Linked DNA regions of Tribolium castaneum. Each later gene encodes a partner of the first gene's protein in a complex. Links are inferred from orthologs where the notes say so. Each region holds a gene or a part of one and is shown in the gene's direction. Other genes may lie near its edges.

The links.
Region 2: GatB (region 1) and GatC share a complex: the UniProt entries of both Drosophila melanogaster proteins name them as parts of the heterotrimeric GatCAB amidotransferase (AdT) complex. The link is inferred for Tribolium castaneum from reciprocal best matches to the Drosophila melanogaster genes GatB and GatC.

Annotation. Positions count from the first base shown.
Region 1 is NC_087394.1:27,621,336-27,625,520, forward strand, and holds GatB (glutamyl-tRNA(Gln) amidotransferase subunit B, mitochondrial), read left to right. Parts: upstream 1-1,693; 5' UTR 1,694-1,805; coding exon 1,806-1,888; intron 1,889-1,936; coding exon 1,937-2,204; intron 2,205-2,251; coding exon 2,252-2,567; intron 2,568-2,614; coding exon 2,615-2,850; intron 2,851-2,893; coding exon 2,894-3,207; intron 3,208-3,263; coding exon 3,264-3,387; intron 3,388-3,433; coding exon 3,434-3,655; 3' UTR 3,656-3,681; downstream 3,682-4,185. Other genes in the region: Tbce (tubulin-specific chaperone E), read left to right, coding at 4,002-4,185. UniProt on the Drosophila melanogaster protein: Allows the formation of correctly charged Gln-tRNA(Gln) through the transamidation of misacylated Glu-tRNA(Gln) in the mitochondria. The reaction takes place in the presence of glutamine and ATP through an activated gamma-phospho-Glu-tRNA(Gln).
Region 2 is NC_087399.1:7,965,680-7,968,635, forward strand, and holds GatC (glutamyl-tRNA(Gln) amidotransferase subunit C, mitochondrial), read left to right. Parts: upstream 1-1,643; 5' UTR 1,644-1,825; coding exon 1,826-2,121; intron 2,122-2,165; coding exon 2,166-2,340; downstream 2,341-2,956. Other genes in the region: enoyl-CoA hydratase domain-containing protein 3, mitochondrial, read right to left, coding at 47-150, 200-223; protein KTI12 homolog, read left to right, coding at 655-814, 862-966, 1,011-1,306, 1,357-1,623; PolG2 (DNA polymerase subunit gamma-2, mitochondrial), read left to right, coding at 2,309-2,725, 2,774-2,917. UniProt on the Drosophila melanogaster protein: Allows the formation of correctly charged Gln-tRNA(Gln) through the transamidation of misacylated Glu-tRNA(Gln) in the mitochondria. The reaction takes place in the presence of glutamine and ATP through an activated gamma-phospho-Glu-tRNA(Gln).

The DNA of each region.
Region 1 (4,185 bases):
TAATTAAACGATTAAAGCCAAAAACATCTGGTTTTATTCCAATCGCTTGAATTCTTGCTACAAATCAGATACAATTAAGTTTACTAGAAAACCATCTGCTCTTCCTGTTCAGTTTTAAAAGTAAGCATCCTTTTTCCAAATCTCAACACCGAATTCCTGTTTACCCGAACGTGGGCACAAATTTCCAAACATTTTGTTTCAGAAAGTGAGTGAATTCCTGAGCATTTGAGGCAGCTCATCAGCGACTTGTTTGTCATTTTCCATACTTGTCACTCATTTAAAAACCCGATCAACAACATAGAAAACAGATATCAATCAATGCCACTGCCTTATGTGTGAGCCTCGGTTAATTAATGTGAAGTTTATCTCGAGTGGCCAGCGTTCCCACCTTTACGGCAAATTATTTATTAATAAGACATTAACCTTGAAAACAGGGATAACCACAAATAAGTAAACTTGCATCCGAAAATAAACCGGTATGAACGTAAAACCTTGACTTACAGCGTAACGCAGCAATTGAGACAATTAAGGATAATTCGCTTAGCCCCCCAGATTATAACCTAATAATTAATCTGTTTACGGCTGCGACCTGGCCACTCGGGCCCGCAAGGACATCCATTAGCCCATTACTTAGCCAAATTTCCAGCTTGTGCGCTAATAGTCGCTATTAACGCTGAGATAATTACAAAAATACATAATTGTTTCTCACCTGGTAATAAGAGTCGGCCATCTTGAATCCAAATTTACATCACTCAAATGTGGAATTCGGACGGTTTGGCGGTGTTTTAACGGCACATAGCGGTTAGAATGAAAGCACATATGAAATTAACGGCTCTGTTTACGTTTCGTTAAATATTCCAGTTCAATTGTAAAATATTTGGCCACGATTTTTCTACATATCACATTACGACGCGCACTGTTTTGCCGGCGCAACACGACTGAATTAGTTTGTTTTCATTGGCTCGCTGAGAAATAGCATGAGATGGAGATATCGGGCCTCGCATGTGGAGGATGGGAGTACAACAGGTGCTCCGATCTAGGCGGCGAGACAGCGCTGGGAATACGATGACATTTAACAAAAAATTTAAAAAAATCGTTAATTAAATTTGAATTTCATTTAATTCCGAGGAATTTTCAGCCACACATCGCCACCAGTTTAATAAATACACACAACGTTGCATTTCTTTGGTTAATTGGGCATTAATTAATTAACACTTCCACAATCATTAAAAATTTCTCTCATCAGTTTCCATTAAAAATCTTTGAATAATTTTTTTTCAACTAGTACTATTCGCTACTAGTGATAGGTTTTCCCGGAAAATGGGCAAAAAATTTATCGCTAAGAAAACACAGCTTGTTTGTCGTAATTTTTATTTTTAAACGATAACAAAATAAATATTTGTAATTTCTATTCGGTTAATTTAATTAGATAATAAGCCACGAATTTTTGTAATACTGTACGGATAAACTGCAAGACTTTAAATTTGACGCCGTTTTAGCGTCATCAGGTGCACCAATACGAATTCAATCAGGAAAAAAAGCAAATTTTATAAAACCACTCAAGAACACCACACAAATCTCACCCATTCTCTTGAAAAAAATTACTCTAAATTACCACAACCAACAAAAAATACAACCATTTATTTAGGCTCCTATCGTGATAACGTAAACACGTTCTAATTTTTTATGGTTGGCCACTCTGGACCTGAAGGTCATTGTTCCGATTTTCAGGTTATCTCCAAAAATTTGTATATAAATTAAAAAAAAAGGGAAACTGTTTTATAGACGTGTTTAAAATAGGCAAAATGTTCAATAAATTTACCTATAATTTTCGCAGGGGCTGTCATTTATGTCAAAGAACCAGACGTTTATTTTCTAGTAAAGCGGGGTATGGGGGCTAGATTTGCCCAATTTAGACTCAAATTTGGATTTTTAGCGCCAACAATCAATGGAACAGTGTCGTGGGCTTGGAAGTTCACGCCCAAATTAACACAACCAGTAAACTATTCTCAAGTGCTTCAACCAAGTTTTCGTCCCCCGTGAACGCAAATGTGGCCCTTTTCGACTGCGCAATTCCCGGCACTTTGCCCGTACTTAACAAAAAATGCGTCGAATTCGGGGTTTTAACGGCGCTAGCTTTGAATTGTCGAATAAATCCCGTCTCAACTTTTGACCGCAAACATTATTTTTACGCAGATCTCCCTGTAAGTTGTTGACCAGTTTTTTTGGTGATTTATATTTTTGCGTTGAGGCCGGTTATCAAATAACCCAGCAGAGACACCCTCTGGCCAACGACGGCCGTCTCGAATTCCAAGTCTTTAGCCCCGGTGTTCACAAAGCCCCCTACAAGAGGCAAGTCCGCATTAAGCAGCTCCAGCTGGAGCAAGACAGCGGAAAGAGCCTCCACGACACTGACCGCAGTCTCGTTGATTTAAACCGTGCGGGGGTTCCCCTAATGGAGGTCGTTTTCGAGCCCGATTTGAGCGACGGCGAGGAGGCCGCAGCCCTAGTTAAGGAATTAATCGCGATTTTGCAACGCATTGGCACTTGCAGCTGCAAAATGGAAGGTGGGCCCCTTTTAAAATCAATGGCAACATTCTTACGAAATTTTTAGAGGGGGCCCTGCGGGTGGACGCGAACGTGTCCATAAATAGACAAGGGGAGGCTCTGGGGGTGCGCACGGAGATCAAGAATATCGGGTCGGTGAGGGGCGTCGCGGGGGCGATTCGGTACGAAATCGAGCGCCAGATTCAAGTGAAGGAGTCTGGGGGGGCTGTGGAGAATGAAACTAGGGCTTGGGACGCTTTGGGTAAAGTCACAGTTTCAATGAGAGACAAGGAGCAAGTGCAGGTTTTTTTTTCAATTTTGTGTCAAATTTTCGAAATTTGCTCAGGATTATAGGTACATGCCGGAGCCTAATTTGCCCCCCTTGCACGTGGCAATGGGTCCGGTGTCTCAAGGGTGCGTCAGTGTTGACTCCCTCAAAAGTTCTCTCCCGGAATTACCGGAAGGAACGAGAGTTAGACTGAGGGAAAGCTCCGGTTTGACTCTAGAGCAAAGCATTATTTTAGTGAATGATAGTTCGCTGTTAAATTTATTTGAGGACGTTTGGAGGGCGAAAAAAATTGAGGGAAAACTACTCGCCAACTTGTTGATAAATGAGTACACCTCGATTCTGAATAAGATGGATTTAGAACCGAGCCAATTGTGAGTTAAGTGCGGAAACATAGTAGTTTAGATCGGGATTAAGTTACATTTTTCAGTTCTTTTAATTCTGACTATTTTGGGGAAATTGCCGTACTTTTGCAAAATGGTGAAATCACAAGAAACACGGTTAAGCTCGTCTTGGACGAAATCATCCAAGGGAGCACAAAACGGCCACTTGAGGTTTGCAAGACCGAAGTTGTTTCACTTACGAATTATTTGTTTCCAGATCGTGAGAGAAAAAAACTGGTTACAGATTACCGACGAAGATGCGTTGAGACAGTTATGTCAGGAGGCCTTAGACCAGAACGAAAAAGTTGTGAAACAGTACAAGGGCGGAAAAACGAAAGTTTTTAAAGCACTTCTTGGATACGTGGCGACGAAAAGTAAACAAAGAGCAGACATGAAAAAATGTGATAAGATTTTAAAAGAATTGTTGAATAAACAGTAATCATGTTAATAAACAGTCGTAATGTATTTGTTGTGTTTTATTTTTTCCTTAAATTCGGGTGAAAACCCGGAATCGTTTGGCGCAAAATATCCTAAGTCTCGACGCGCATAAGATTTCGTGGGCCGATCACAAATGTCAAAAAAATTGTGATTCATATTACTTTTAAATCAATAATGTGTTGTATGTATTGAAATAATTGTAACAATTTGGCCGTACGGTATAAATTTAGCTTGATTCTAACCCACCTGACTTGAAAAAAGTAAGTTTTTATACCCTTTTTCCAACCTAACCTCACTGTAATTTTGCGAAAAAAATCATCACAAATAATTTTGTAGACATCACAGCTATGACAAATTCGCACTCTCCTTGCCAAATTGGGGACCGCGTCGAGAGCGGCGGTTACATCGGAACGGTAAAATACGTGGGCCCCATCGAGGGCAAGCCCTCAATTTGGCTCGGGATCGACTGGGACAACCCCCAGCGGGGCAAACACGACGGCCGCGTCAACGGAGTGCAATATTTCACCACCA
Region 2 (2,956 bases), on another chromosome or scaffold:
CAAAATACCGTTTTTACCTATTTTTTGTTAAATGTAACGAAAGTACCGTGTTTTTTGGTCGCACATCACTATTTTCGCAATTCCATTTTGCACATTCATGTGTGTGGGGGCCCCAGATGAATAAAAACATTTCTGGACAATAAGCCTGGTCTAAAACCGGCAAAAATTCAGTGGAAAGTATTATAAATACGGACAAAACCTTTGGTTGTCTTAATCCCAACATTTCTTCGTGATTTCGGACAATGAACTGTGTTTTTTCATCAGATAAAATATTTATAATTTAATCTTAAAACGTTTAAAAATTTAACACACAGTGGCAAAAAACGAGGCTCAGATACGCATCTGGGTAAGTTACGGGTCACGAAACGTAAAAATTGTATTTATTTTGATCTAAAATTAAAATTTTGAATCGGAAAGTTAAAATTGGCGCGTTTCCTTAAACCAGTGCTTCCAAAACTTTGGTACGATGCAACAGTAAAGAAATCTCAAAAAAATACAATTTTGGGTTACAAACTGCTAATGACCTTACCCGTGGTACAGGTGGTTACGAATCTGCCCCATTGTCAATACTTTGTTACAAATTTTTATTTTAAGTAATGTGTGGGAAGTGCTGCTGAAACGTCATTAAATCTAACCTTAAAAAACCATCTGACAATGCCCCTAATTGTGGTAACTGGGGTCCCCTGCAGCGGCAAAACCACCCGTTCCACTGAACTGAAACAATTTTTCGAAAGCCACGGCAAGGAGGTGCACGTTGTTAGCGAATTTGACCAAATCATCAAAGCCAATTTTGAAAAAAACGCGTTTTTTTCAGGCAAGTATCGATAATTTGGTTTATTTGTTTTGTAATATTATGCACAGATGCCGCGGCTGAAAAACACATCCGAAGTTTGCTCAAATCGGAAGTTTTGAAACTGATAACACAAAAAAATGTTGTGATACTTGATGCCTTGAATTATATCAAAGGTAAATAAAGTTGTGTATGATTTGGTGTTTTAAAATCGTTCCAGGTTATCGGTACGAGCTGTATTGTGGCTCAAAGGCCAACAAGAACACCCAGTGTACGGTTCACACTGAAATAAACCGGGACGAAGCGTGGAAATTTAATGAGAAGCGGCCAGAATTGGAAAGGTATATCAGAGATACTTTTGATGCCCTTCTGATGCGGTATGAAGACCCCGACGGGAAAAATCGCTGGGATTCACCCCTATTTGTGGTTTTCCCCGGACAAGAGCTGGACAAAAGTGCCATCATGTCGTGTTTATTTGACTCAGAACCGGTCGTTCCTAACATGTCCACTCAAAACGTAAAGGAAATATTTCTATTGTAACAATTTTCACTAATGAACAATTGTAGCCCCCACTAAACTCAACGAACTTATACGATTTGGACCAAGTCACGAAAAAAATCACAGACGGGCTTGTCAAAAGCAAGAATATGGGGGTACAAGGAGCTGTAAAAATTGAGGATTTCCCTCACCTATCCATCGATATTTCTAACGTAACCGTGCAAAAATTGATGATTTTGAGGAGACAATACTTAAGTTATTGCAAACTTCACCCGCCTGACACGAAGCAAATCCCACAATTATTTATACAATATTTAATAACAAGCCTGCAATAAAAATGTTACATAACCTCACTTTTTCCATTACCTCACCAAGCGCAATTTTTGGTGTTTTTTTCTAATTTGTGTACATTTTTTAACGTAATTACTTTATTTACACAAAAGTCACCAACAGTTAATAAGTGAACGTTTTTTTCGTATGAGAGTCAGGCGTTTTTTAAGTAAAAGCCGGGCCCTAACCTCAAACTAGTGTCGAAAAATGAGTTTTTTGCGCTGTGGTTTCGCCCGTGTCCGTTACTTTTGCATCCAAAGTGTTGGAAAAGTCAACTATTTCGTGCCTAAAGCCCCCACACGGTCAAAAATCGACCGGAATAAGTTGCCCCCACGCACTAGCATTGACGCTAAAACTATAGCCCTTCTAGAGCGTTTATCACTCGTTGATTGCGCTAATAAACAGGGGATAGAGACATTGGAGGACGCTATTGCCTTTGCCGACCAAATCCAACAAGTGGACACTTCAAACATCGAGCCTTTAGTTACGGTTTTGGAAGACAGGTGAGGGCTCAAGCCTCGTTTTTTGGTCTGATTTCGTGTTCAAGGCCGTTACGGACGCGGGAAGACTGTGTTACTGAAGGTAACTGTCGTGAGGATATTTTACAAAACGCTGAAATCACCGAAGAGGAGTATTTTATCGCCCCCCCTGGAAACATCCCCCTGGAGCCTCGCGAGGATTTGCTGCACGATGACGTTCGAAAAGATCGTGAAACTGTGTGAAAAGCACGGATTCTTGCGAAGAATCGCCAATCCGAGGCTAGAAATGTTCAAAATCGGGCCAACTGGGGCACTTTTGCAAGAAAATTTGCACACCGAGTGGCTCAATAATATCGTAATTAGTAAAGACATTCAAATGTTTCATTGTGTGGACGATTTCGCGGCGACTTTCGATTTTGCCAAAGCGACGTGTTTGGGGATTCCCCCGTTTGGCATCTCTCGTGTAACACAGAGAAAATTGCGAGTGCAGGAACAACTAGATAAAACAGGATTTGAGAAGTATTTCGACCAGGGACGGATCTACGAATGCTGCGTTTTTATGCCCCCGAAAGACGTGACCCAGTTTTTCCACCAATGGCAACGCGAGCGCAAAATTTGGTGGCGCCGAGTTGGTTTTTCAAATTTTTTTTGATTTTTTCAACAGCCAGTTTTACAGTTTTCTTCGTCACCTGGACGTTATATTTTAACAGAGGGGACCCAGAACGTTGAAATTTTGGCCAAGTATCCATGGGGGGACCAGCTGGTTGAAAGTTTGAGTGTTGTTAGTAAAATCGAGGGACTCACAAGTGGGCAATTACAGGTTTCTGTAATTTTGCAAAGTTGAAGTGGTGAATTTATT